Linked DNA regions of Astyanax mexicanus. The protein of the gene in region 2 purifies or fractionates together with the protein of the main gene of each other region. This does not show direct contact. Links are inferred from orthologs where the notes say so. Each region holds a gene or a part of one and is shown on either strand. Other genes may lie near its edges. The genes, in order: strn4, ppp2cb, tcp1 and ppp2r3b.

Region 1 (7,848 bases), on a different chromosome or scaffold from region 2:
TACAGTAGATGGTCCTCTTTCCCCTCATCACTCCTAGACTGCGTCTGTGAGCTGATGTATCAGAACTGAGTCGCTGCGCTTTCCTCCGAGCGTTAGCGCTGTGATGCTCCATCAGCAGCAGCTCAAAAAGAGGTGGAGTCTGACTTCACATGTGAGAAGGCATGTGCTAGTCTTTACCCTCCTGGTGTTGGGGCATCACTAGTAATAGGGGAAGTCTGAATAAATGAGTTGGGTAATTGGTCATGTAAATTAGGGAGAAATTGGGAAAAAAATAGAAAACAATTCTGGTTTTGTATGGAATTCTATTTTTGTATTTATTTATTTTGTTGAATTTATTGTTTATTGATCTCATTAAATAGTTAAATAGTAATGATACGATACTTTATGTCATTTGGAGCGACCACTCATCATGTGGTGCAACCTATAATAACAGTAACTACTAAATTTTAAATAAAGTATCAATTTTCTGTTGCTGAAATATTAACTATTGATACTGTATGCTGAAGTTAATGGTATTTTAGAAAACATTTTAACAGTTTTATTGGATTAACAGAAAATTACCCTATTAACTACATTAAAGCCAGTGATTGTGACACTAAAAAACAAAATTGAGATCCTTATTTACAAAAACTAAAAAATAATGCAAATACTTTATTAATAGACACTTTATATTAGTGGGAATTTGTAAACTAAAAATGAAGTATATTATGGCAATGTATTAATTTTAACATAAATCACGGTCGCACCACATGACATTTTGTAAGGCCAAGGCCAATTCTTCTAAATGAAAATACACTAAAATAACTCAATCTGTTTGTGTTCACAGCATTTTAATTGCAACAGATACAAAATTTTTTTGTATTTTAAAATTGGCATGTTGAAAATCCTTTGACCCATATATTAAACCTGTGTATAATTACTTAATTTTTAAGATTGCTATATGTATTGTAAAAAGCGATATATAAATAAATTTGATTTGACTTTAGTAAAGTGCAATAATATATAATGTGCTGCCCAACCCATCCTGACTTCCTCTGTCTGAGAACTGGGTCAAGGGCAGATAACTCCTATTTCTCCCTCTTTGCCTCCAGAGATATTTCATCAAGTAGAACAGCACACGTCTTAGAGATAGGAAAGAATTTGGGATCACACACCAGGAACAATGCATCTCCTAAATTTTCCAAGTCTTAATGTTTGCCAGTTTAAACATCATGTAAGGACACATGTGCACTGAAATGTCTGTGGTATGGGTTAGGTAATTTACTGAAATGAATGGCTGATGTGAGGGTGTGGTGATACAGTAATATTTTTACAGTATTTAAATATTGGTCTTTTATACATGTGCAAAGTTCTCAGTGTCTCTGTTTAAATGTGGAGCTAGTCTGAGCTTGTTCATAAAAAAAATCCAAATGGATTGGCTAAACGCGATGTATTTGATCATGCTGGAGGTAAAAGTTGGTGGGCTATCTGACAAAAGTTGGTACTTGTTATTATGTTTTACTACCCCACACGTTCAGTTCCCCTTTTAGGAAGAGATTGGACAACAGGTAGCGTTTTTCGTCCAACATGAAACGGCCACCTTCTTCGGGCCCCCAATACTGAACCATTTGGAGCATTTCCACCAAAAAAAATAGGCTCTGGAACCTGAAAAGTTAAGTTTGCAGACGGAACCAAAGAATATTTTCAGCTTAAACCCTGACAAAATATGTGGGCGTATCTACATATGCAGGAGCCATTGTGCAAAGACCTCTGCTGATGAAGTGGTCTGTGACGTATCCTCTCACCCACTAAAACTGGCGCAAACATGGGCTGGTTCACTGAAAAGCACCAAGGCTCTTATAAGCTTAAACAGAACCAGTTATTGTGGTCGAAAAAAAGTGACATTCAGGTGTGCAGAAATCTACAGGTGAGGTAAAGCATGCGTTGGAACAGGAGCCACGCCTACATGAAGAGAGATGGAGGGCATGGCAGGATTAATTGATGTATTAGCCAACTAACAAAATAATCATTAGCTGCAGCTCTAAAACGGGCCTTTGCAAGTCTGCATCGGACGGCTTATATAGATAGGTGCAGTAACTAACTGTGTTCCAAAAAGGGAGCCTGAAAGTGATGAACGTGTTCATCTAAATGTGCCACAGCTCCTTACTCTGGGCGGAGGAGCACAGCCACGGTCCCTGCTTTACTACAGACTCCGCCCACAAACCACATTACGTCATCGCTCTTTTTGCTCGCCCTGGATTTACAACCAGATCTCAAACTGAATCTCAGGAGTGGTTCATCGGTCACGTGGCAGCGCATTTTCTGTTGATATGAGCAGCAAACCAATATACCTTACACGCCTAACACTACACCACTAACAGCACAGTTACTGTAGCACAGGGAGGGAGCGCATGTTACAAAGAAACTCAAACAAAAACACAGTACAGGCCAAACCTTCTCACACACACACCAGACAAATACGCGACACACGAAACAGCATGAACATACAGCTGTACATTATTATACTTTCACTAATACGCCAACAACCCGCAGCACCAGCCCTGGGTTCTGACTCTACTGTTACCGCTGCTCCTCACACATTCCTTCAGTCCTGTTGACTCTTTAAAATAAGAACATAAATTAATGTAAAAGTTACCCTCAGCTCATCTCGCTCCGCTTCCCAGCGGTATTTCTCCGCTTGAAAGCGCCCCCACTCATACTGGATGAAGTGTAAAATCCCGGGCAGCGACAGGCCCGCCTCCCCGTCCTGCTGTTCCCGTGGCTGGGAGGACCCAGGCATGGCCCCGGCCGCCGCTGATGGAGCCGCGGCGGTGGGCGCTGCAGACGGCGGACCGAGCACAGTCTTCGGCCCGTTGGGATTTCGCCCAGCTCCGCTACCCGCAGTATTTTGATTCGTCCCCCCGCCGAATCTTTCCGCCTCCATTACAGCGTGTCGCCAAATCACGGAGAAACTGGAGTGAGAAAAGGCTCGAGGTCCCCGTTCCTCGCGCGCTCAAACGGAGCCGTTTCCTATTTTCCTTCGCGACACGGACAAAACCGAACACACAGCCCGAGCCTGCCAAATACTGATCCCATGCACACCGCCGCGCCCTCCCCCCTCACTCCATTATTCCTTGCTGTGGTTAAGCTCTCGAGCGCACCCTCGGGACGCTTCCTGCTATATTGTGATATCCGCCGAGCTTCCTGCGCTTACTACCCACAAAACACTGAGCACGAGACTCTGCTGGGCCCGCACCCGCACCCGCGCCCCGCACCGCCCGCGCGCTCCGCATGCTGAAACAATGACCGGCGCACCGGTGCAGATTCAGCTCAGAGCCTAAAGCTACTCTGGATTTAGATGTGCACTGTGTGACTGATCGACTGTTGCGGAATACAGAGAATCTGAACGGCCATGTGTGGCCGTGATAGACCTGTAAGATCGAGCTAAATGTTTGGTCTAAAGGATAGACACAGTGACCATTATTTGTGTCAATGTACAACCAGAAACAGGTAAGACAGTGTTCTTTTTTTCAATCGCTACTTGTTTGTTGTTACAGCATATACATTACAATCGGGTTTTTTTGTTTATTTAAAGGGCGATCTAATGCGTTTATGCCTTTCTTTGTGTGTCTTACAGTCTCTGTGGTGCAAAAGATTGGATGAGCAAAGGCAGAGAGATAGGATGTCATAATCCACCACCCGCCTACTCTGAAAACTTTTGTTTCTCTTGTACAACTACCCCGGAGTCAATGGGTCAATTCATTTTTTTGTTTATTATTAATGATATTATGCATCTAAATACAACTCACAAATTCCTCACCACGTTTTTGTTTGTTCCTGACATGTTTAATATGAGAAAAACACTAGCAAAAGACCACTCTGGTCTTCACGTTTGTGTGTACGTCACATAGTATAATTCTAGTTTTCATTGTATATTATATAAGTGTAAAACCTGTATAGTGAAAATGAGAATCAGTTTCTGTCAGGCTCTGCTAACAGGAGCCATTGTGCTGAACTTGTTAATACTGTATTTTGTATCCCGGGCACAGCAGCAGATGATTGAGAAGCGCATGCAGGGAAAAGGCTCAAAGAAAGTCTCTCTATCTGCGTCTGGCCTAGGAGCTGCTGGTGGGCTGGTAGTGGGAAACATAGCAGAAGCCAACAAGGTAGGAGGTGAAGTAGGTCTGCGAAGTCCTCGTATGACCATCCTGCTTCGGGAGTTTGAAGACTTTGAGAATTATGTCGCTGAATCTGCACGCTCCTTCTTGCACCAGAGGCCAGAGCTGCCATTCCTGGTTGTGGCTGACACCCTGCCTTACCCTCCTCTGGCTCTGCCTGAAAATGCCCGTTTGCTGGTGCTGTCTCCGAGTCCAGACCAGCCTCCTCAAGCACACCGTCCAGAATTTTATGTACAGTCAGAATTTGTACTGCTAGTGCCTGACGGTGTGGAGCTGGATCACGGGCGGCAGCTTGAGAGGCTAATTCGAGAGCTGGAGGGTGAGGGAGGTGGGCCAGTACGGCTGATTGCAGCCCCGGTGCTGACTCGTGCTGCGGTCCAGTGTCTTCACCTGCAGGTGAGCCTAAAAGAGTGGACAGCAACATACTCCCTTGGGGCACTGGGGAGTAGTGGCAGTGTGTGTACTGCTTTGCATGGTGATGCTGTAGTCCTCATTCGTACTGAAGACTTTTTTAACCTGTCTGACCCCTTAGCACGCCCCCTGCTATCTTCACTGTTTATACAGACTGCACTGCGAGGCTGGAAGGTAAAGCTGTTGGAGGGTCCATCATTCTCTGCAAGCCACCGGCCTCTTTTCACTTCGGCACACAACCAATGGAAGGCGGACAGCCGGCTTAAAGAGGCTGCCAACCAACTGATGCGGAGCTTCGGTCTTAAACGCTTAGTGTGGCCTGATGGAAGGGAACAGTGGTTCGGCTGTTCAAAGGAGACAGCACGATGTTTCGGCACGGTGCGTGACGACACACCCGCGTATCTTTACCTGGAGCGCTGGACCCCACCTTGTTGCCTGCGTGCTCTCAGAGAAACAACAAAGTATGTCATTAACATCTTAGACAGTTCTGGTGTGCGCTATTGGTTGGAAGGGGGCAGTTTGTTAGGAGCAGCCAGACATCAAGATATCATCCCCTGGGACTATGATGTCGATTTGGGTATCTATCTGGAGGATGTGTCAAATTGTGAGTACCTGAAGAACCTAGACTCAGGGTCACTGGTGGATGCTAACGGGTATGTGTGGGAGCGGGCAGTGGAGGGAGACTTCTACCGCATCCAGTATAGTGAGGCTAACCACTTGCATGTGGATCTTTGGCCTTTTTACCCACGGAATGGAGTCATGACCAAGGACACTTGGACTGATCACAAGCAGGATGTAGAATTCCCTGAGCACTTCTTGCAGCCACTGGTTCCCATGACATTTGTGGGCATTACTGCTTATGGACCCAACAACCACCGTGCCTTCCTGGAGCTAAAGTTTGGGCAGGGGGTCATTGAGAACCCACAGTATCCTAACCCTGCTAAAAAAAGACTGGATAGGAGTCGAATGTGAGGTTGTGATTTATTTGTGGTGTTAAACTTTGAACTAAAGAGAACAGTTTAAAATCTTAAGGTTGTCAAACGTCTGAGTTTATCTGTTTTATACTGTTGTCATGCTTAAGGATTTGAAATACACAAACATTCCCACAAAAAAATCAAAAACGATCTCCAAAATGTTTGTTTTAATATGAAAGTTTAGAAAATCAGTACGTACTATGTGACAGGAGAAGGCTTTGGTTAAATGACGGATTACAAAATACTTGCTTTAGTGGATATAAACATCATATGAGTAGTAAGCTGTGCTCATGCTACTAATTTTAGTTTATTAAGTTATGCTAAAAGTGTCGCACATTTTGTGTTTTTGTAATTAATACATGACCATTGTCTTTTAATAGCTTAATTTTTCAATAGTTCAGTAATTGGTATATTATGAACTTATTTGGGATTTTATAATAGGAAATTATTAAAAGTATTAGATAAAGAGAGCTGACAAATGTATTTCAATTTCAAAAAAGAGCAAACATTTAGTGGGGAAATTGTATTATTTTGACGTGAATAATGTAGATATTGCAATTTATTTGTCTGACCACAAGGTGGTGGCATGCTTCTGTTGTTTTACTGACTGGGGTCAGGGGTACTATAATGTACTGTTATTTTAAACATTAACTTTCTGCAAAATATGCATGCTATATATATATACACACAGAGCTATAGCTTACACCTAACCTGCCATTAACTTGCATTTAATTAAATATCTGTTTACTTCTAATCATAAACCTGGTCCTAACTGTTACTTAACCTCAACCAGAAACAACCTAACCCTTACCCTGCTCCTAAACATAGTCCAGGCTTGAAACCTGACCCTGTTTTGCCAGTTGTGTTATAAATATCTGGATAATAAATATCTTTTTAAAACAATTTTAATGTAAGTAAAAAAAAATGCAAGTTTATTTCATTCAAGTTTATATGCATTTTACCTCTTGGAAGACAAAAGCTAAATTAAGCCCTTTGACATTGGGAGAAGAGTGTTTCACACTCCTCTATGCAGAAATCTTTCAGCTGTGTGCTTTTACCTTCATCTATCTTTTGGCAGATGGTCTCTTACATTTTCCTGAAGCACCCTCTAAAAATAAATCAAATGATCATGGATCCTATGATTGAAAAATATACCAGGTTAAATTAAGTGTATTATATTTTTTATAAGAATGTAATTAGAATGTATACAAGGCTGAAGTGTGCTGTTCAAATGATGTGAGATCAAACTGGAGCTGCAAGTAAATCTTCCTTGCTGGAACTTTAATTAGGATTTGATTCTGTGTCAGATCAGGCAAAAATCATGCCTATAAAAAGACTTCCTAAACATCCTAATTGCTACTGTGTAATAATTTTAGTAATTTTATCACTGTTGGGTTTTCTTTGTAAGTTTGCCGTCATTTTTATAACGCAATGTATCATTCAGTTGTTTACCAAGTGACTTATGATATGGTGGTCTTTGCCTGAAGCCAGTGTCATAGATAAATCTCCAGTAGAGCAATGATACATTCAGACCCACACAGAAATAGTTCACTGAAAATAGAAGCATATTTTGCAATAGCTGTCCTATTCCCTTGACTTACACATCACTGTAAACAGGTCCACTGTGCTGGAAAGGAAACCCTACAAGAAAGGACTGGGGGCAAATGAATGACATTTGTTTTTTTTACATGCAAAAATATTTTTGCCTTACTGAAAGATCCCCAATAAACCCCACAGGTCTGTATAAATGTAAGTAATGTATGTTGTATATAAGTAAGTAATGTATGCTCATATTATAGCTATTAACCTCTTGTGTGAGTGGACCAATCGAGACTTTATCTTTGAATCGCCACATTTATTCTAACCAAAGTCATCCCATAAAGCTTCTGACTATAAAACCAAAAGAAAAGTTAAACTTCTAGTAATTTTCTTTTTTTGTTTAGTTAGGTGAGTTAGATTCTTAAATCCCAGTTAATTATTTTGTTTGTTATTTTGGCTTAGTCCATTCTGACATCTTTTGAGTAATTTTTGAGATACGTGTAAAATGTAAATGCGGACCAAATAGTAAATAAAACAACTTTGATTATTTAAAACATTGCCTTGTTTTTGTTTTGTTTTTTTATGTTATGGTCTTGGTGAACCCCGGACTGTTCATAAAATTGAGCGGCTAATAAAACGAATAGCAGAGCTGAATCCGTCAGAACCAGTTAACAAAGCACATAATTAAATATAAAATACTTTATTTAAACCCAGTAACAAGTACATTCTGCATAGTCTGTAAGATAAATCTCTTTCATTTCAGCCAC
Region 2 (8,124 bases):
AGTAGGGTTTTTAGTGCTTTCCATTTTCTGGGGTAAGTGGGGTAAGAGTGTGTGTGCATGTACAGAAAAACCATCAGTTCAGTCTCTACAGTTGAGGAGTCTGATGGCTTGGGGGTAGAAGCTGTTGCAGAATCTGGTCGTGCTGGACCGGATGCTGCGGTACCTTCTTCCCGAAGGCAGGAGGGAGAACAGTTTGTGTGAGGGATGGGTGGGGTCATTCACAATGCTGGTTGCTTTGCGGATGCTGCGGGTGGTGTAAATGTCCGTGATGGAGGGGAGAGAGACGCAGATGATCCTCTCAGCTGTCCTCACAATACGCTGGAGGGTCTTGCGGTCAGAGACGGTGCAGGTCCCAAACCAGGCAGTGATGCAGCTGCTCAGGATGCTCTCAATGGTCCCTCTATAGAAGAGTGTGAGGATGGGTGGAGGGAGACGGGCCTTTCTCAACTTCCGGAGGAAGTAGAGACGCTGCTGGGCTTTCTTGGCTGTAGAGCTGGTGTTCAGGGTCAAGGTGAGGTTATCTGCTAAGTGGACACCAAGGAACTTGGTGCTCTTAACAATCTCCACAGAGGACCCGTCGATGTTGAGTGGAGAGTGGGTGTGTTGTGCTCTCCTGAAGCCAACAACCATTTCCTTTGTCTTGTCCACATTCAGGTGAAGGTTGTTGACTGTACACCAGTCTGTCAGCCGCTGCACCTCCTCTCTGTATGCTGACTCGTCGCCTTTGGTGATGAGACCCAGCACGGTTGTATCATCGGCGAACTTGATAAAGCTGTTAGAACTGTGTTTTGCAGCACAGTCATGAGTCAGCAGGGTGAACAGCAGAGGACTCAGGACACTGCCCTGGGGGGCCCCAGTGTTCAGTGTGATGGTGCTGGAGGTGCTGCCCCCGAACCGGACTGACTGGGGTCTCTCCGTCAGAAAGTCCAGGATCCAGTTGCAGAGGGGGGTGTTGAGGCCGAGCGAGCTTAGCTTCCTGATGAGGTTCTGTGGGATGATGGTGTTGAATGCTGAACTGAAGTCTATAAACAGCATTCTGACGTAAGTATCCTTCTTCTCCAGGTGGGTGAGGGCATCGTCCGTGGAGCGATTGGGACGATACGCAAACTGCAGGGGGTCCAGTGAAGAGGGCAGTTGTGTCTTGATGTTCCTCATGACTAGCCTCTCGAAGCACTTCATGATGATGGGTGTAAGTGCAACGGGACGGTAGTCATTGAGGCAGGACACTGTGGACTTCTTCGGCACGGGAACGATGGTGGTGGACTTGAGGCACGTTGGGACAGTGGCGCTGCACAGGGAGATGTTGAAGATGTCCGTGAGAACATCTGTCAGCTGGTCTGCGCACTCCCTGAGCACTCTGCCGGGGATGTTGTCTGGTCCTGCAGCTTTTCGTGGGTTGACTCTGCGCAGAGTGTTCCTCACATCCACTGCAGTCAGGCACAACACCTGCTCGTCCGGCTTGGGCATGGTCTTTCTCGCCATCGTGTTGTTTTGTGCCTCAAACCGTGCATAAAAGTTGTTCAGGGCATCAGGGAGGGAGGCATCATGTTCACAGGACGGTGGCATTGTCCTGTAGTTGGTGATTGCCTGGATGCCCTGCCACATAGGCCGCGCGTCACCTGTGTCCTTGAAGTGGCTGTGGATTCTCTGGGCGTGTGCTCGCTTTGCCTCTCTGATGGCTCTTGACAGGTCGGCTCTCGCTTTCCTCAGGGCCACCTTGTCACCCACTCTGAAGGCGGAGTCACGGGTCCTCAGCAGCGCACGTACCTCAGCAGTCATCCAAGGCTTCTGGTTTGGGCGTGTAGTGATGGTCTTGGAGAAAGTGACATCATCAATACACTTGCTGATGTAGCCAGTGACTGATGCTGCATACTCCTCCAAATCAACAGAATCGCCTTCAGTAGCAGCCTCCCTAAACATGTCCCATGCAGTGCACTCAAAACAGTCCTGAAGGGCAGAGATGGAGCCTGCCGGCCAGGTTTTCACCTGCTTCTGAACTGGTCTGGAGCATCTGATGAGTGGTGTGTATGTTGGAGTCAGCCAAACACCATGTGGTCCGAGAAAGCGAGGTGGGGGCGGGGCTCCGCCCGGTACGCGCTGGGGATGTTTGTGTGAACAAGATCCAGCGCGCTCGCTCCTCTCATTGCAAAGTCCACATGTTGATGGAATTTAGGGAGCACTGACTTGAGATTTGCGTGGTTGAAATCTCCGGCGATAATAAACAGTCCGTCTGGGTGTTTGTTCTGCAGATCGCTGATAGTCCGATACAGTTCACACAGAGCCTCTTTAGCATTAGCACCAATGCTAGCGCTGGGTGGGATGTAGACAGCAGCTATTAGCACGGCGGAGAACTCCCGTACTAAATAAAAAGGTCTGCACTTGACTATCAGGAACTCCACCAGCGGAGAGCAGTGTTTGGCGACAGTCACAGCGTTGTTACACCATTCCGTGTTGATGTAAACACACACGCCTCCACCGCGGGTCTTCCCGGATAGAGCCGCGCTCCTATCCGCTCTGAACGCGTTTAGCCCGGCTAGCTGAATGGCGCTGTCCGATTCCACAAAAACCAAAGCACAGCAGTCTCTGAACTCACGCTGGGTTGTTCGCTGGAGTCGGATGTAGTCCAGTTTATTGTCAAGGGAACAGACGTTTGCCAGAAAGAGCGATGGTATAGCCGGCCGGCTAGGACTAGCCTTTAGCCTCGCGCAGATCCTGGCTCTTTTTCCGCGCTTCCGCTTACGCTCGCACCGCTTGCGATGGCACTTCCGCTGGGCTCCGGCGTCAGGAAACACAGCGGGCTGGCGGCCTGGGTCTCTTAGCAGGCTAAGCTCAAGTAGCGTCTGCAGAACCTCGTCCGGTAGCGTGTTTTCTGGCTGATTTCTCCACTGTAGCAGGGTCTGGCGGTGGTAGAACATGTGCACGGGTGTTCCGATGCACATATTTGCAGGAAATAAACGGAAAAAACGACAAATAGTAACACAAAAGCACCATTTAACGGACCCGGAGCGGCCGCTGCGTGTTAACGCGCCGCCATCTGCCTAAAAATATCGATAAAGTGATATATCCTCTTGAGACCCAGCGTCCTCACATGAGGACATTACATTTTAGCTTCTCTACACCATTATACTTAATTCTTTAGCTTCAAATGGAGACACCACCTGTACTGTCTAGTGGTCACATGACAACATTATAGTTAAGTGATTGAAAACAAGGTGGGAATCCCAGTCAAAAGTTTCTACAGCCAGTCCAGACGGAAACATGGGACAGGTAAAATAATCTCATAGAATTTTATATTTGAAACTATGTAGGATATGTGAAGAATATTAGTTGTCTAATTCTGTGAAACTGACATCAATTAATAATTCTTTGGTATTTTATCCTCTTTAGTAACACAGATGCCATGAAGTAAATTGTCGTGCGATAAATCTCAACAGTACAACAAAATCACAGTATTGTGATATCAATGCTATCATGGGAAATGTATTGTGATAATATTGTGTCACGAGATGCTTTATGATACTTTTTTTATTAGTTTATTTTCGATTTCTATGTTTCTTTCATTTTCTCCCCAATTTACACAGCCAGTTATTCAACCCCCCTCCTTTTGAACTGCCGCTGATACAGCATTGCTGAGTCGCATCACAGCGCGTGATTTTATGGAGTTGCTGTACATCTAATTTGGATTGAATTAAATATCCAAATAATAATAATAATTTTAGCAGAAAATCTCTATTAAAGAGGAGAATTCCCACTTAAGAGTCTCTTCTGCGTTTGTCCAGCCACTAGAGGGCGCTCCCGAGTGAGTCCAAAATGAATGGGTCTATATGGAGCCTTTAAACAAAATCGTAGTTTATACATGGTTTTAATTTTTATACTGCAAATTGTACTCATTTCTTTAACACAGAGCAATATCAGATGTATCGCAGACACAATTTTAAAAGCTTTTAAACTTTAGGTATAAGCGCTTTAAACTTAGTGCTCCTCTGTCTGTAACCTGTAAACTCCCATCAGCATCAGCTCAGCTCAGTCAGCTCACAGTAGCAGTAATGCTAGCGTCTTTACTGCCTAAAACCTGTATACTGTAGAGAAACTGCAACATACAGGTACGTTTTCTTCAACGTATTAGCGAAAGGGTTTATTCTGCATTCTAAAATTAAAAGTGTATTCCGGGTAAAACGTTAATAACTATTTTTAATCTGAGTTTTTAGCCGATTAGCTCCATAGACCTCTATTCATTGAGGACTCACTCGCGGGCTCCCTCTAGCGGTTAGCAGGCAGTTTCTGGTATAAAAGTGGCGATATGGAGTGGGTAGACTCTGCTCTCAGCTCTCAGTGTAAAAACAGCAGACGTACAGCTCTGGAAAAAATTGAGACCACTATAGTTTCTGAATAAGTTTCTCTGATTTTGCTATTTATAGGTATATGTTTGAGTAAAATAAACATTGCTGTTTTATTCTATAAACTACGGACAACATGCCAAATAAAAACATTGTCATTTAAAGCATTTATTTGCAGAAAATGAGAAATGGCTGAAATAACAAAAAAGGTGCAGAGTTTTTAGACCTTAGATAATGCAAAAAAACAACACACACAAGTTCATATTCATAATGTAAAAAAACAACACACACAAGTTCATATTCATAATGTTTAAAGAGTTTAAAAAAATCTACATTTGATGGAATAATACTGTTTTTTATCACAGATTTCATGCAGCTTAGCATGCTCCTTTACGCCACTTCCATCTTCCTTTTGATTATATTCCAGAGGTTTTCAATTTGTTAGAATCAAAGAAACTCATCATTTTTAAACGGTGTCTCATTTTTTTCCAGAGCTGTATGTGAATTACGTAAAGCTGAAGAGCAGGGCCAGTTCGGTCCGCTGGTCCGCGGGAGGGCGGTACCGGGTTTATCCCGCGGGCTCAGCCGGAGCGACGCGCATCCTCCGCGAATGCCTTTGCGATGACGCCGATATGAGGCAAACGCAGAGCGGCCATTACACAGCGAGTTTCCCAGGGAAGGTCGGGAGGGAGAGAGCGGGGGAGCCACTGAAATAGATCCGCCACACCGCGCCGCAGGTCCCGCCGAGCCGCCCTCCATCAGCACGCGTACAGACGGGAGAACGCGCGGAGTCGCCTGTTTTAGAGCCGCGGTCTCCCCGCTTTCGACGGGTTCAGCTAGATAAAGTGTCCGGGGTAAAGCAGCCCTCGGTCGGCTAAGCTAAGCCGAGCTAAGCGGCCGCCCGCACCGCTGAGCCTAAATCCAGCCGGCTGGTCGCTAGGTTAGCTAGCGAGCTAAAGAGCTAAACGACGCCAGCAGGAGCACACAGCCGGTTCTGAGGGGGGTTTCAACGGGTACCGGATTACACAGACCTCCGCTCAGCCCCAGAAACCATAGCTAGAGGCCCGTACTGCGCTCCAGGACGCGCCGAGGATGGATGATAAAGCCTTTACTAAAGAATTAGACCAGTGGGTCGAACAGCTGAACGAGTGTAAGCAGCTCACCGAGAACCAAGTGCGGACCCTCTGCGAGAAGGTAAAGCGGCTAACGGCTAATTGTAGCTTAGCCTACCCAGCTTAGCGCTATAGCTAATCTGTTAGCGGGGTGTTTTAATTTTACCGCTAAATATAGAAATAAAACAACATTCCCGACAGTAATAATAATAATGATCATAATAACAACGTGTTTTTCTTAATTAAGTTAAATGTTTATTACAGTCTATACTAATGTGATACTAGTTTAAGTTGTTTTGAGGTTCTAAGTCGTTATTTTGAGATGCTAGGTTAACTTAAAACGTGAGATACTATTTGAGAAGATTGTTTTATTCGGAATTTACAAATTAAAGTAAAGCCTTTTATATAGCTTATGTACACTCAAATGTATTACATCAAAATAATGACTTAAGAGTATGAAAATAATTACGTATTATCTTAAAATAAGGACAGTATCTCAAAACAATGACATATCTCTGGATATATGTATTATCTCGGAAATGAGTATCCCAAAATAAAGTTTTTTTTTTTTAATTCAGAATAATGGCTCAGTTTCTCTAAAAAAGGACCTATCCTAAAAACAAGGATATAGTATCTTAAAATGATAGTATCTTAAAATAATGACGTAGTATCTAAAAATGGTATCCTATACTAATGACGTAGTATCTCAGTAATGAGAGTATCCCAAAATAATGGCCTTTTAGTTCAGAATAATTACTTAGTTTCTCTAAAAAAACAATAATCTAGTATCTTAAAATGATATTTTAAAATAATCTTGTAGCATCTTAAAATGTTGGTGTAGTATCTTAAATAATGTAGTATTTCTATCTTAATATAATAATATGAATAACATAGTAATCTTGAGTAATGACGTGGTATCTTCGTAATGTGTCCCAAATTAATGATCTTTTATTTCAGAGTTATGACTTTTATTATCTAAATAAGGACATATCTTAGAAAATGATGTAGTATCTCAAGGTGATAGTATCTTAAAATAATGAGTCTCTTAAATTATGAAGTAGTATCTCAAAACAATGACATTGTATTGCATAATGATCCTTTAACTTTGACTTAGTTTCTCTAAATAAGGGCATATTGTCTAAAAAAAAAACAATAATATAAGCTCTTATGGTGATAGTATCTTAAAATAATTATCTAGTTTGTCAGTATTATGACTTCTTCAGATAATGATTGCATCAGAAATAATGACTTAGTATCTCAAAATAATGACGTAGCAAAAACTAGTCAGAACTATGACTAAGCAGTGAAACAATATATCTGAGAGCAGCAACATAACACACCTTCAGGTTTTCCAATATCATGAAGCCCTAGTTAACTTGCTGTATTTCAACCAGCAAGTATTTAGCTGGCTAAGGCAAATAAACAAGTTTTTTAGGTTTAAATTACAGCTATTAATTAACTAACTTGGAGTATTATTTATTTAGATACTTTTGTAGGTGTTTGTGTTAAACGTGAATTAAATAAGTTATGAAGTAAACTATAAAAAAGGGCAATTTAACTATATGTAAAGATAAATTAGAATAGAAATAGACCTGTTATAGGCCTGTCACAGTTATTGTGTTATTGATTTGGCAATTGTGCTATTCGTGGATCTAGCCACTGTGATTTTTGCTGACCTCAATATTGCCCGTTCTGTTTACTTAGCTACTGAGAAGGTGGTTTTGTTTTATTTAATTTAAGATAGTTAAGGGTTTTTATTATTGGCTAAATTGAAGAAATGTCTAAAAAATGTATTAATGATCTTAAATAGTCTTAAAATAATAGTGCCAATTATTGCCGTTATTTATGGGACAATATATCTATTGTCAAACATTGTTTGTTGTGACGGGACTAGGGTGAAGGGAATACTATAAAAAATACAACTAATACAGTTTGTGTATATGCAGTTGTGTAGCTACAGTAAAGTGTGTAATGAAGTCAGCTTTAAATGTACACTTTAAAGTGATATAATGATTGCGTTAGCTGTGATTCACTCAATACACAGTGAATGGCTCTCTTAATTCCTGATTGTGTAATGAATGAAGTCATTCCATCAGTTGAGAGTGAGTTGTTGCTGGACATGTCAAATTTCTGTACTCTCAGCTGGAACTGTCCAACTGGAACCAGCTGATCTAGTTAGTTGATAATTAGCTGCAATATTACATTTTATTGAGCTATTAAGTATGTTTTTGTCCAGTGTAGGCAGTTCTCACAGCTCGTACGTGTTAAAAAAAAACCTTAGTGAGCATATTTACAAAACTTGTTAGACTTTTTATTTTCCCCTTAAGTCACAAGTTTATTTTTTCCTCTTGTAACAGGAGCTAAACCATTTTATTGTGGTGTATAACACGTATACTAGGTTAGTCTGATTTAATAATTTGCTGTAAATTAAGAAAGTTAACTTCAGTCATATGCAGTATTAAACTTGTCTCAGCTGATTGACTATCTTTAGGGTCTGGTCAGTAGGGGTTTTACATTTTGAGTGATTCAGTCTTCTTATTTTAAACTTGAGTTTGTCAACAGTTAAATTTAAGCACCACTTATCACACATTAATATGACATCAGTCAAATCAGAGGAGATGACCATAATGAGGGTGATTCTTCCAACTATAGAAGAGGTCCAACAAAAACAAAGA
Region 3 (7,648 bases), on a different chromosome or scaffold from region 2:
TGTGAGTTGGTTCCGCCTCTCGAACCTGCACCAGGACGCGGCGAGAAGACCTGGAACGACACACAATGGAGGTCTTTAAGTTAGTGGCAAGGCGTTTGAGGGATCTGCTCTGTGTGTTAGTGGTAAGTGATGGTGCAGTGTCTCCCTGGCTGGATGGCTGTGGATGAGAGGTGGTGGTGAGGTCTGGAGCTGGAGCTTCTTGGCACTGTCAATAAAAACGAAACAAGCTAAGATTCAGGATTCAAGATTTTTATTGTCACGTCACAGAGTACAGGTGTACATGTGAGTGAAGAAATTGGGTGCAGATTCCCACTAATGTGCAGAGAACAATATTTACAAGAAGAATAATAAAAATATGTATAATTTAAAATAAGATAGACAGATACCTTTACAGTATAAACAACATACACAGTATACTCAATAAAAACACACATAATAACTTACACTATAGACAAATATTGCACAGAACAAATATTGCACAGATGTAGATATGCAGATATCTAGAGTGTGTGTGTGTGTGTGGAAGTGAGGAAATAGTCCAGTAGGTGACAGAATAACTATGAGTAAGTGCAGGTAAGGAATGAGTTGAGTGGGAAGTGCAGGGGGCAGAATGCTATATAATATTGGGAAAGTCTGATAGATGCAGTGTAAATTAAGTGCAGGGTGCAGAGTTTGTATGGGTGTCAGTGGGGTTATAGTCCCACAGTAGGGGGACTAATCTAGTGTTACAGCAGCAAATATATAACCAGGCACACATAAGCAGAAAGACATTACTAAATCATTAATAAAAATATATAAAATATCTATGTATATAAAAAGTGTAAGTGCTTACTGTATGTGTATGAGGTTTACTGTGATGTTATTAAATACAATATGTTAAAATTACTCAAAATCCATTTACCGTAAGCATCCAAATGGATTTCAAGGTGTAATGCTTTTAAAACCCTTAAAGAACCACATATTAAATAAACACTGTACTCATTACTTTCACGTGCCTTTCTCACAGCTTCTTATATGTACTGCTTTAAATAACACTGAGATCTGACCTGTATTTTAGGAGGTGGCTCCAAACTCTTCTCTCTGACATTGTCTTCCACGAGGTCCGAGTCACACACAGCCTAGAAGAAAACAGGGGAAGAAAAAAACAGGTTTCCTAATGAACTGTATATCTATAATCATTTGAAGATAGTAGAGAGGCAGAGGTTAAATAGATTATATAGGATTAACTGCAAACTCTTACCTGTGCAACTGGACCTGGGACATCAGGCTTAGTAGAGTCCAGCCTGTGGGCGGGGGCTGCCTCCCTTACCGGCACCAGGACTCTCCCACCATGCCGCCTGGGCGAGGAAAGCTGCAATGGAGTGGAAGATAGAGACTTTAAAGACTCATATTAATAGATATTTAACAGATTTAAAGTGGGATATGGTTTTGGAAGCAGCTGTATGACTGTGATGCTTTTCTGCATCTTAATTCATTGTTTATTGTGCTTTTCTCACCTTCTCGATGAGGGCCCTCAGCTTCCCCTCGAGGAACTCGTGCTGAACCCTCCTGAGCTCCTTCCAGGGGTCTGGACCCTCACCCTGCCACTGCAGACAGGCGTCCCTCAGCTCCTCAGTGCCCTTCAGGAACATGGAAAGAAACACAACTCAGGATTATATACACTGCAATATAAACTAAACATGCTGCTTTTTTTTACGCAGATCAATAAAAACAGTTTGATAGAGACTCACGCAAAAAGGCAGGAGAATGGGGGGGTCGCAGGCGCAGTGAGACTCCACCTACAACAGAAAATAAATTCCAACCATTTTAAAAAACATAAATCAACATATGTTTACATATGTATGCATTTACAGTTTGTGAAACACGTGACTGTGATGCTCCTCTGCATCTTAATTAATTGTTCATTGTGCTTTTCTCACCGTCTCAATGAGGGCCCTCAACTTCCCCTCGAGGAACTCGTGCTGAACCCTCCTGAGCTCCATCCAGGGGTCTGGACCCTCACCCTGCCACTGCAAACAGGAGTCCCTCAGCTCCTCAGTGCCCTTCAGGAAAATGGAAAGAAAAACAATTCAGGATTATATACACAATATATGCAATATAAACTAAACATGCTGCATTTTTAGGCAGATCAGCAATAACTCACGCAAAAAGGCAGGAGAATGAACTGGTCTCCTGACCCACCAGAAGCCCCCTGTAACAGAAATACAAGAAAAATGTATTACAATAATTTTTAAAAATGGGATTTACTGTTTACTGTTACTACTGACACTGACACTGAACACATATGCCACCCTTTATGGCACCCAAGCTAGGAACCCTTTCCAGACTAATACAGTTATTTAATAAAATACTAATGCTATGCTAACTAGGTTAGGCTAGTTATTCAACACCACTTCCTCAGACTCCGCCTGCAGAACTAACAGCTGCTGTAATTCATGCTGCTCCTAGTTTTATCTTGTCACTGTAAATTTGGTGTAAAATTAGATAATGGTTTACTTACCTCCAGGAGATGGTCTTCACTCCGCCAAAACTCCATGTCTGACCGCGGGGTGTCAGTATACCCACACCGGTTTCGACACCTGAAAAACAAAATATATGTGATTAATAACAGAAAATACAAGTAATATAACAATAATATAATAATTAAAACACAATACAGTTAATAAAACAGTAAATATTAAAGAATAAACGGGTCTGTTGTCCAAAAAATCGCTGGATATCCTCAGTGAAAAGCTGCTGCTGCTGCTGCTGCTGCCGCTATTCTTGAGCTCAGGAACTCTGTAAACATAACAATCATCCAATCGTCTCGCTGAACGAGGACGCGCGCCGCGTCACTTATGTAGCCATAGAAACGCGTATATTATGTTTTTATTTAATTTTTTCCTTATTTCTTATTTTTCAAATGCTTTGCGTGTCTGACTGAAAATATGTATACTTATACCACAGTCATTAGTACAGTTATCTCAATTATAGTGCAATTACATGTTGTGGTGAACCCTGGTAGCAAAGAACATTAAATACATTAAATAAACTTTATTTAAAAAAAACTTGTATAAAAATAACAATAACAACAACAACGACAACAACAATAATAATAATAATAATAATAATAATAATAATAATAATAATAATAATAATCATTATTATTATTATTATTATTATTATTATTATTATTATTCAAAATATTTAAATAATTTAATCTATGTGCAGGAATAAAATAACTTTTTTAAATGGGGTGGAATTTCCCATTTTTAAATGCTTTGTATGTCTGACTGTTAAAATATTTATTTTTATAACACAGTCATTAGTACAGTTATCTTAATTATAGTGCAGTTATATGTTGTGGTGAACCCTGATAGCAAAGAATATTAAATTAATGATTATTAATGATTAATGATTTTTACATGCAATACAACTATAATAATAATAATAATAATAATAATAATAATAATAATAATAATAATAATAATAATGATGATTATTATTATTATATAGTAATAATAATAATAAAATAATACTTATAATAATAATAATAATAATTTTATTATTAATTTAAAATACATTTTCTTTGTGCCCATTCGCACAAAGAAAATTAAAATATTTAGATAGTAATTAGCATGGATTTTTTTCAAGACCACCAAATGTATAGTAAATTTGCATTTTAATGTAGTAAACATAAAAAAGTAGAACATTTAATTTAATAAAATGTTTTTTTTTTTCATTTTAGTTTTATTTATTTTGGTTTATTTTAGCTTAGTTTTCTGTAGTATATTTTAGTTTAGTTTTGTCTTGTTTATTTTGGTTTATTTTATTTTAGTTTATCTTACTGTAGTTTATTTTATTTTATTTTATTTTCCTATAGTTTATTTTATTTTATTTTAGTTTAGTGTACTTTAGTTTAGTTTAGTATAGTTTATTTATTTATTTGGTTTATTTTATTTTATTTTACTGTAGTTTATTTTGGTTTACTGTACTTTATTTTAGTTTATTTAAAATAATTGTACTGTAGTTTATTTTATTTTAGTTTATTTTGGTTTATTATTGTTCATTGTTTTGTTTATTTTAATTTAGTGTAGTTTAGCTTAGTTTATATTATTGTAGTTTATTTTTTTTTTAGTTTAGTAAATTGTAGTTTATTTTATTCCGTTTAACTTATTTTATTTTAGTTTAATTTATTTTCGTTTATTTTATTTTAGTTTAGTTTGGTTTAGTTTATTTTACTGTAGTTTAAAGTATTGTACTGTAATTGATTTTATTTAATTTTATTTTGGTTTTAATTTATTTTACTGTAATTTATTTTATGTTGTTTTAGTTTCGTTTATTTTGGTTTATTATTGGTAGTTCTGTTGTTTTTGTTTATTTTCGTTTAGTTTAGTTAATTGTAGTTATTTCATTCTATTTTATTTTAGTTTAGTTTAATTTATTTTGGTTTATTTTATTTCATTTCATTTATTTATTTATTTATGTATTTCTTTTTTTTCTTTATTTGTTTGTTTATTTAGTTTAGTTAATTATAGTTTATTTCATTTTCATTTAACTTATATTATTTTATTTGAATTTATTTTGGTTTATTTTACTGTGGTTTAATTAAATTTTTGTATTTTGGTTTGTTTAATTTTATTGTATTTTCAGCCGATGGGCTCTGGAAGGTTCCAGGCCGGGCGGCAGTTCTTTACCCAGAGTGCACCGCGGCTCCTTCTCCTCCTTCTCTCCGCTCCGTCATGTCTGTGCTGGACGGTCCGCTCAATGTTCTCGGTCAGAGGACCACCGGGGAGTCCGTGCGGACTCAGAATGGTGAGTTTAACCGCGGACCGGCTCCGAGACCCGCGCTCGGTTCTCTATGGATCAGCAGAGAGAGAAAACGTGCCGAGTTACAGCGGTTCACCGGCCCATGCTAATGCTAACGGCTAACGGCTCCCTCAGCCTCCACGTGCGGATTAAAACTGCTCAGACTCGCCTGTAGTTTAGTGTGTTACCGGTTAAAGATAGTAACCTGGCTAATTAGCGGATTTAAGGGTCTTTATGCGCGAGTCTCTGTATTAATATCAGTATTAACTGTTTCTTTATCAGCAGCCCGTTATGTTTGCTGTCAGTGTTGCCGGTTCCGCCCGTTAGCTAGCCGGCTAACCTAGCCTAGCCACTGTTATTAGCCTGTTGTTCAGCATCATGGAACATTACCCTATTATTTAGTGAATAATAAACTGTTAAAAGTTAAATGTTACACCGGTCAGTCAGTAGCGGCCCTGCTTGACAGAACTGGTCAGTGTTCAGTTTGTTAATGTTTATTTTAGATTCTGAATTTCTGGCTTTGTAATCCTGCTCCAGCAGAAAGCTACAGTATGCAAATCAGCCTGTGGGTCTGCAGCCACAGTGTGAAAGTGAGGAACTGATATCTGATCAATATCAGACATTTTAGATCAGTGTGATCATTGTTGGACTAAGTTCCTACTATATATAAATAACAGCTACTTCAGTTAAAGTAAATGTCTGAAAAGTCTTCTCTTAAGAACTTTGTGTAAAAATATCTACAATACTATTTAGCTCAAAATGTACTTGGGTGTTGAAAGTAAATGTCACAATTCAATGCAGCTCTGTTTTTTTGTAACTTCACTCTTGTTAATAACTCCTATTTTAAGTGTCCCTCATGGTAAATCAGCATTTTAAGTAAGGCTGGCCAACATAAATGTAATAAAAAGAATTTAACGATTTCTAGTTCTTATGTAACTGCAGTTTTTTATTTGTAAATAGGTGACACTGTTTTAAGTGATGCACAAACAGTTTTTTCCTTTTCCCAAAAATTAACCAAAAGGTAACATTGTTCAGTCAGGTTAGGATACACAAAGAATACGCAATGATTGTGTGCAATTTCATTGTACATTTTTCATTTTTTGCTGCTTAGTACTAAGAGAAAAAATATCGCACTGTTCTCATTTTACATGACAGTATTTACCAGATGGTCAATTATATCTTGTCTAATACAATTAATTTTGCTCTAATCATTGATGCAGTTATACTGTTGTTTCCATTATATGTTGCATCATTGCCTTTTTTTTTTATTTAGTCTGTTTACATTGTAATGTAATTTGTTCCAATACTGTGCAGCCCTAGTAACCAGCTGCAGTTAATCAATCACTGTCCACGTTTGAATAAATGTGGCTGTATTTTATAGAAAGTGTGTAATATGGGTATGAATTATAAAGTGGAATAATTGCCTAGTTTACAAACAGTGAACCTCTCCTGATGGCTAGATAATTGAACATGTTTTGATGACTTCATTTTTCTGTGTTTAACAGTCATGGCTGCGGCCTCCATCGCAAACATCGTCAAGAGCTCCCTCGGTCCCGTAGGGCTTGACAAGATGTTGGTCGACGACATTGGTGTAAGTGCAGCAACTTCAGATTATTAAGGCATTTAATAAAGTGTTGCTTTTGTTTTGAAGGCTTTCTGGGAATGCTTTTATCAATAGTGTGTGCTTCTGTTTACCGCAGGATGTAACCATTACCAATGACGGAGCCACCATCCTGAAGCTGCTGGAAGTGGAGCACCCTGCAGCAAAGGTCCTCTGTGAGCTCGCAGAACTGCAGGACAAAGAAGTTGGAGATGGAACCACATCTGTGGTAAGTTGCTAACTGTTATCTTTTCTTAGTTACAGTTATAGTTAAGAGTGTAAATGACCACTTTTTTTTTTTTTTTTTTTTTTAAAGAAATGTATTAATTTACTAGGTTAATTCATGCATCTTAAAGCCACAATATCTTATAGCCTCTCAATGATGCAAAGAATTGTTGTCAGTAGGCTTAAGCCTGCATCAGCCCACCTGTCTGCATTTAGAGTTAGTTATACAGCTCTCTTGTAGCCAATGCACAGTGCAAATGTAATTGCTTCAGGTTTGTAGACTTAACTCATAAACTTGTGTTGCTTAGGTTGTCTGATTACTGAAGTGCTTAATCATCGAATCTGAACTGTTCCATAAAAACCATCACCCGAGTTGAGTTTTCCCTGTATGTGGTTCACCATTTCTGTGTTCTCACAGCAGGAATAGTGGCCCAAATCTGAGTTTTTTTGCCAAGTTTTTAATATTTGTCTGAATAGTTATTGGGCAATACTTCACGCAAAGTTTCGGTTTAATCCTCTCAAGCCTTACTGTAACTATCAAGGAGTTCCAATTGCTGACAACTAGGGATACACAGACGTGGGAATTGTGGGCCAATATTAAACATTTATTTAGTTTTAGCCATGTTCATAACTTGGAGAGACTTGGAGAAACATCAGTAAGTATTGGTTTTGAAATGTTTGCCATGTCAGCCAATGCCTATGATTCTTAAAAAAAAAACTAAAAGCAACAATTGGCAGATACCGAAACGATTCCAATATCATTGTGTATTCTTACTGACAACTTCCATAGAGTGCAGTTATTTCTCCAAAGTCACTTTCTTTGCCTTGTCTGATATTTTTTTTAGGCCTATAATTTTTAATAATTTATTATTATTTGTTCAGCAATTTCTTCTGAAATGTCTTTAAACTCAGAGCGGTTGTAATATGTGCCTCGTAATCCATTGTTTTGACATTAAAAATAAAATTAATTCTGATCTGGCTATTTTTGCGCATTGTATATTTATTGGATTTTAATTCCACATATCAAGTGGCCGG
Region 4 (6,976 bases), on a different chromosome or scaffold from region 2:
ATACTTCTATGTTTCCCATATCCAAGCTCCAGTGTTCAGTTTTAAAGTTTTTCAAACTAGGACTAAATTAATAACAGCAACACAATGTCTGGTAGAGAAAAAAAGAAACAGCAAAGTTTATCTTGGTACCGTACCAAAGTTGTGTGGGTGAATTTTTGACAAAGCACATCAATCAACCCTAGAGAGGGACTGTTAACAAACCATTACGGGCTCATTACTGATCACTTCTCAGGAGTGCTGCCGTAATTAGGGCTGTAATACATTGCATCAGCACTCATAAGTTGGCCGCTGCCCTGGTTTTTCAGCTCTGTCTAAACGTCTCGTCTGTCTGGTGATGCGAGAGCAACATAGTGAGCTTAAACGTAGTGACTACAGCTGGGGTGCAGAAAAAAAGAAAAAAATAATACAAATATGTATATATGGTGCGCAATTGTAGCATAATTTAACAAACAGATATAATTTGGCAGGGCTTGTATTTTCTAGAAGTGTGTTTAAGCCCGGCAGTCAAATCAGTGCAATATTACAGAGCACAATAAAGGCATTACACACAGAAGCATCACCCTCTGCCTGCGCACACTTCCCCAGATGGCTGTGATGGGAGTTGTAGGACTGATTCCTCACCCAGTCAAGTCTAATGCCTTCTAATCTTCTCCTGCTTTTTTCTGAATTATTCAAACAGTTCTTGAAGCAACAGCGGCGCCTCGACAGCAAGCAAAGCTCCCTGTGAGAGATAATGTAATGTAAAATGAATGATGAAATTCGGGGAGCTAAAATGAAAGAACTCTGCAATGTGTTTTCAAAGGTGAGGCCCTGGGTGATAACGAATAAACCTCTTTTAGTTGCTTTTAATGGGAGACTGGCGATGGCGTGCTCACATGGCGTGCAAACATGTGCATAAGGCAAAGAAGAGTGGCTTTGTCCAGCCAGACCTTTTTCTTGCTGCCAATTTAAAGGGACGTTGAACTCGAATTTTCTTTCCCATGTTTGAGCCATTATAGCCGAGATCCAAATCTCTAGTCAGCGAACAGATGAAAAGCATTTTTTTCGGGTTACTCGTTTTGTGCAGGCAAACAATTTAGGGGGGCAACTGAGGCATTTTGATGCATGAAATAATTTGCCCTGTGATGTAACGTCCACTCCTTTTAATCTTGAGAGCAAATGCCGGCTTATCTTTCCTTAAAGGCGGCTAATAACATATCATCAAATAAATAGCTTGAACACATTGTTCTTTAGTTATTACTGAAGACATGCTGCCTGACCTCAATAATTCAGTGTGATTAAATAAAACAATACAAGGAATATGCACATAACGATGTTCCTATTTTTCTCTCTCTTGTTGCCAGACAAAATCAATTGCCCCTGTGAGCTAAACATGGAAATCTATTATTACAGGAGTAGTGTTGCTACAGCACTGTAGGTTGTAACACAGTTAGTTAACTGAGAGGTGTTAGTGAGTGAACAGGGACCTCACATTATTACAGCTGATCCGCTTGGCTCTGCAGAATAGCCTCTCAAGCCAAACACTCTCCCCTTTCTTGCTCTTTTAGCCAGCTCAAAGAACAAGCTCCAGCATATCCTGATTGAAAAAGGCACAAAGGTGTAAAATTATTTTTTTTTGAAACTTGAAAACTGTGAAAGAGTACACTGTACATGCTGTGTGTACCTATGTATGTATGTATGTTTCACTGCAACCCTACCCTAGTAAAGTATGACCCCTGCAGGTCAATACAGCCTAAGCTCTTCTGCTCATGGAAAGACTGCATGGAAAGACTGTTCTTGGCACTGTTGTCATTTCACAAAGCACGCCTCACAGTAAAATGGCACCTAATCATTCTTGCCGTTTGAAACTGCTACATTTGGGTAATGCAGTTTTAATGCCGGCCCAGCGCTGTAAGTTTAACATTGATATATCATGAGAAAAATCTCAAAGGATCTGGGAAGGCAGAAGGCATTGTTCCCTCCTCCTAACCGTAATCTCAGATGGAGAGTGCAAACATCTGAGAGCAATTGAAGTGTCTTATAAAAGAGTCTCTCCCCACTGCGGCTGGGTTTAGCTGTGCGGATTGTGAATCTAAATGTTTTCTGAACTGGGTTTGATTTCTTCTTTGTACTTTTATTAACAATCAGAGGGTGTGGGTGGTTTACAGTGTATAACAGATCCAACAAATTGTGGAACGCACTGCAGAATACATGAAAATATTTCACCATTGTTAAAGCGTTTCAGCAAAACTACTGTTGTCACAGCGATCATTTAATAATGAAAAATAACCCTGCAAGAACTGCTGCCTTTATGTTATGGAATTAACACATATATATATAAGTGTACTGGAGCTACTGTGATGAATACAAAAACAAATATTCATTAAGAATATCATATAAAGTTTAGAAGAATAGCTAATATAATACTAATTATACTAATATAATAAAATATAATATAATATAATATAACATGACATAATATAGTATAATATAATATAATGAAAAAAAATCTTAATAAATTGTAGATTCCTAAACTATAAAAAATGTGATAGTTTCATGCGGTTGCTGATGTCGGGTGGTGCCCTTGAGGGTAAAGGTGAGGCTGGACAATAATTAAATATCATATACATCACAAATCTTTCATTAACAGTGATATGTTTTTAAAAGTATTTCCAATATTTTGCATTTATCTGTTGTGGCTGTTTTTTCCAGTTTTTCTGTGTCTTTTACATTTTCATATTGATTTCTGCTCTATACAGTATTGACCAAAATTAAGAAATATTTTATGATTGAGACACATGTTTATTATCTTTAGTCAGGCAACATGTTCCTTTTTTTATGTTGTTTTGTATTGTTGCCTACCCGCTCTCTTGACTCAAGATCTTGTTACACATTTGGTCCATATTCTATATATATTGCAAAACACAAATCTGAAAGTATATTTTATTATGAAAGAAAAAAAAGAATAATGCAGTATGACTGTTAAATAAAAAATCAACTAGTGTGTCAGTTGCATTTGCTTGATTGCATTATTTTATCAACATATGAGTTACTGTAGAGATGGCCTTGGTTTCTTCTATTATTTGATTAAAATTACCTAAATTTGTGCTAAATGGGTTGAATTATCCAAAAAATGCAATGCTATTTTCAAGAAGATTTTCGGGATTTACCGTTTGAGAGTGAATAGAAGATTAAAGAAGATGGTGATAGATGTGATTAAACCGTCATTTAAAGTGTAGCTCCAACCTGAGATTGAAATGTCGATAAAAATACATTGGGGGTTAGTTAAGATTGCTGTTTACTTGTTAAACACAATGGAAATGCATATTAATGATGAAAATTAATATTAAATAAAGCACAATATTTCCACCTGGAATAGTTTTCTCAGCGAGTTTCTGGAGGTGCTGAACAATAGTTGCTGATTTTAATATTAATTAAAATTAATATTAATTTATAATGTAGAAAATACATTAAACAAACAAACTTGTCGCTGGTTCTGTATAAGTTGGTTATATTAATTTTGCATTTACCTACGGAGCCCCTAAGATGACACCATGTTAAAAAAAATAGTATTGCATGACCACGACTTATTAAGGCGTGCAAGCCACAGCACAATTTACACAGCTGCTAAAAAGCCTAATTATAGTGTTTTATATATAGTGTTCTTAGTATAGTTATTATTATTTAGACCAGCTTCAACACTATATACAACACAAAGCTGTATTTAGTCATAATATTCAGCAAACCGACGAACATATAAGCTAATTTCACCTTTAACTGCAGCTTCAGGTGTAGTTTATAGCTGCAGTGAGAAGAGAAAGCCCCCTGAGATAAACTCCGCTCTGATTCAGCAGCAGTGAGGAGTTCAGATCTGCAGTCTCGCGAGACTCGGTTTCCCGGTTACCTGTGGAGACGAGAGTTTGATTCAAAGTAAACCCGGCCGGAGAAATGAGAGAGAGACGGGTTGTGCGGAGAACTTGTTGTGCAGGTGGGTAAATATTTACATTTACAGCTTCAGTTGTATATATTTACACTCATTACAGGATTAAGAGGAGCGTTATGGCTTTCATAACTATCTAGCTAACTAAACCACAAGCGGCAAGCGGTGTTTGGCTAACTAGCTGGTTAGCTTAGCTCGTATCTGCTAGGGGATACTGATAAACTTTCCGTTAGTTCAGGGCCCTGGATAGCGCTAACGATATTTCCTGAATATTATACTGTTATTAAACTAGTTATCTAGCTATCCAGTCAGTTATTATACTCTCAGAACTTCTGTTTATAATGCGTATTGTCCTATACTCTGTGCGAACAACCAGGCTAAAGTTTGTAAACAAAGTAAACCTAGCTATTTAGCTAAGTAACGTTAGCTATCTACAGCGGTGAGTTAGCTTCTGAAGCTAACTGTTATCTAGTTAACCTAGCTATGTGTCAGTTGAAATCAGTGTAATTTGGCTTGGTTAGCTAACAGTGGGCAAATTACTGAAATAACAGTTTTTGGGGTTTCTTTTGCAAACATGGCTCAAAATAACCAACATTTGGGGTTAAACACAACCTAGGTAGATGCTTAAATGTGTGTCCATATAAAACAATATAGGTTATCTAACGTTAGGCTTTTTACCTAAATATAAATTATGCTGTGGCTTGTAGCCACATAGTAGTTAGCTTCCTAGCTAACCTAGCTATGTGGTTTACATGCAAGTTACAGCTCTGGGAAAAAATAAGAGACCACCTTAAAATGATGAGTTTCTTTGATTATAATGGCTTATTTCAGCCGTTTCTCATTTCCTGCTAATAACTGCTCTAAATGACTATTATTCAGCACAATGCATAATTGTTTTTTTTTACAAGATCCTAATGCATCGCTGTATTAAGGCGTGGGAAGGAGATAATGGACTCATAAGTCGTCCAAACAAATTGTATTCAAATGATTCTGAAAGCATTATCTTGACAATTTGATTGTGTTTATTTATCTTTTTACAAGAAGTCACTGCATATTGATTATAATGTTGTCTTTCTGGTTTTCCTCTTTTTCTACATTCAGGGCGTTTTACGTAACTGTATTGTGGAGGAAAAATAAAAACATCCAAAATGCCTTCTCCTCAAGTTTTGCAACCAGTCCTGAAGATGAAGGTGGATGAGCTCTTCCTCAACTGGTTGAGTGAGCCCAGCACTCAGGTGATACTTTCAGACTACCTCAGAAAGATCAAGGATGGAGATACGTTGGATTTTGGACAAGAGGACTGCAATGGAAGGGACTCCCTCGTTTTTACAGAAAACAACAACATTTCTTCAAAGAGTAATATGTCAGAGAGGACTTCTGCATCGCTCAGTGCTCCTTGCAGCCCTCCGTCAGCCACGCTCCCGTCTGGGGGTGGCAGCAATAGCAGAGGAGGACCAAACAGCAGGGCTCTACGACGCTCTGTCAGTGTTAAAAAGGTAGGACTGAAACTTTTGACCTTGTTACATGGAAGTGGCCATGATGCAGAACCACAACTCCGATATCGACTGGTGCTAAACCTTCTAAATTTATTACTATTTGTAGACACACATCGATAGATATTCTTGGGTTAGTGTTACAGTGAAAAGTGGAGCATTTATTACTGCAAATTTTGGCAAAATAGTAAAACGCAGACAAGGAACCTATGAAGCTTTGAAGCCCTAAGCCTTCAGATTTTTCAGAATCCAAAATTAAGTTAATTTGACGCTGAAACATCATTTAAAAATTGCAATGGCATGTCTTTGTTAATGTTTACACTTTTATATAATAATAATAATAATGATAATAACAACAACAATAATGAGTTATATATAATAATGAGTAATAAATAGTTAAAGTAATGGATTGGTTTTTAGTGGCAAAATCTGACAAGTCTTGAGTTGACTTTTTTGACTGTATATCTGTACTGAACAGAGGAGGACACATATGCTCTGAGTGATTTTTTTTCTCACTCTGAGGAAGTTATATTATTATATATTGTCACCACTGGTTTTCTCACTGGGGCTCAAAACCAGATGTGTGTAAAGCTGCTTTTTGACAGTGTATGCACAGCAGGTGTTAATTTGCTAATCTTTGGTAAATATTTTACATTAGTTTAGGGGTTGTTGACAGCTTTGAGTTCCTCTGTTTTACCACAAGAGGCTGCTGAAGACTGGTTCCCTGTAGCTTTGTGTATTTAGTATCTCTGGTAGGGCTGGCTTTGTGCATAGGCTTTTGTATTGTGTAAAGAAATACTTTCCACATGTTCCTTTGGAGTAAGACTGGACCATGGAATGAGAGGTGGAAGCATTTTAAGTCCACCAATCCCAGGAATACTAATGGCTCTCCCACTGTGTACTGATCAGTGATCAGGGTGGACATATCTGTCTACAAGGCTCAGGCCTTTTTTGTTCAGTAGAGCATCACACTTACATACATTCTGTGCCTTATATAGGTAAGGTTATCCAGGAAAGAAGTCAATCATTGAAGAATTTGTATATTTCCCATGCCATACGTTAGGCTATAATAGAATACTATATAGTGGAAAATCTTTTGAGAGGGATCCATATTTGGATGGACTTTCCTGGTTGTGAATGCCTGCAATGTGGGGTCAGAGAGTTGGATAGACAGCTGCGGCTATCAGTAGCTTAGTGACATGCGTAAGTGAGCATGACTGCAACTGCGCAGTTAATTTAAGTTTACCGTACATTTCAGTGTAATTTTTTTACAATATTTCAAAACATTAATATTTCAATCATTTAAATTAAAAAAATAAATTTATAAAAAATAATACCGCTTCACAGTAAATACCAAAACATATACAAAATAAATTGCTTTTCACTGATATTTAAAAAAAGGACCCTGATTTTTTCATATGGTACAATATGGGACACACTTGGTTTGCACTGAAAAAAAATTATATAATAAAATATATAATATAATATATATGCCGATGTCAATACATGTATAACTTACTAGGGACTAGACATATAGTATAACTTATAAAGCTAAATTTTATTA

What was found.
Region 1: the proteins of ppp2cb (region 2) and strn4 purify together in Homo sapiens (affinity purification with mass spectrometry; 4 studies listed by BioGRID and IntAct, counting the BioPlex papers as one, with this or other methods). This does not show direct contact. The link is inferred for Astyanax mexicanus from reciprocal best matches to the Homo sapiens genes PPP2CB and STRN4.
Region 3: the proteins of ppp2cb (region 2) and tcp1 purify together in Homo sapiens (affinity purification with mass spectrometry; 3 studies listed by BioGRID and IntAct, with this or other methods). This does not show direct contact. The link is inferred for Astyanax mexicanus from reciprocal best matches to the Homo sapiens genes PPP2CB and TCP1.
Region 4: the proteins of ppp2cb (region 2) and ppp2r3b purify together in Homo sapiens (affinity purification with mass spectrometry; 3 studies listed by BioGRID and IntAct, counting the BioPlex papers as one, with this or other methods). This does not show direct contact. The link is inferred for Astyanax mexicanus from reciprocal best matches to the Homo sapiens genes PPP2CB and PPP2R3B.

Annotation. Positions count from the first base shown.
Region 1 is NC_064425.1:35,551,022-35,558,869, forward strand, and holds the start of strn4 (striatin-4), read right to left. Parts: upstream 3,116-7,848; 5' UTR 2,924-3,115; coding exon 2,636-2,923; intron 1-2,635. Other genes in the region: fukutin-related protein, read left to right, coding at 3,428-3,489, 3,617-3,732, 4,099-5,540. UniProt on the Homo sapiens protein: Calmodulin-binding scaffolding protein which is the center of the striatin-interacting phosphatase and kinase (STRIPAK) complexes.
Region 2 is NC_064427.1:27,864,240-27,872,363, forward strand, and holds the start of ppp2cb (serine/threonine-protein phosphatase 2A catalytic subunit beta isoform), read left to right. Parts: upstream 1-4,964; 5' UTR 4,965-5,429; coding exon 5,430-5,531; intron 5,532-8,124.
Region 3 is NC_064420.1:22,435,656-22,443,303, reverse strand, and holds the start of tcp1 (T-complex protein 1 subunit alpha), read left to right. Parts: upstream 1-4,648; 5' UTR 4,649-4,721; coding exon 4,722-4,794; intron 4,795-6,293; coding exon 6,294-6,379; intron 6,380-6,488; coding exon 6,489-6,617; intron 6,618-7,648. Other genes in the region: uncharacterized protein LOC111194026, read right to left, coding at 1-205, 1,047-1,118, 1,241-1,351, 1,497-1,619, 1,731-1,778, 1,920-2,042, 2,144-2,191, 2,501-2,536. UniProt on the Homo sapiens protein: Component of the chaperonin-containing T-complex (TRiC), a molecular chaperone complex that assists the folding of actin, tubulin and other proteins upon ATP hydrolysis.
Region 4 is NC_064418.1:6,029,321-6,036,296, reverse strand, and holds the start of ppp2r3b (serine/threonine-protein phosphatase 2A regulatory subunit B'' subunit beta), read left to right. Parts: upstream 1-3,859; 5' UTR 3,860-3,967; intron 3,968-5,020; 5' UTR 5,021-5,067; coding exon 5,068-5,415; intron 5,416-6,976. UniProt on the Homo sapiens protein: The B regulatory subunit might modulate substrate selectivity and catalytic activity, and might also direct the localization of the catalytic enzyme to a particular subcellular compartment.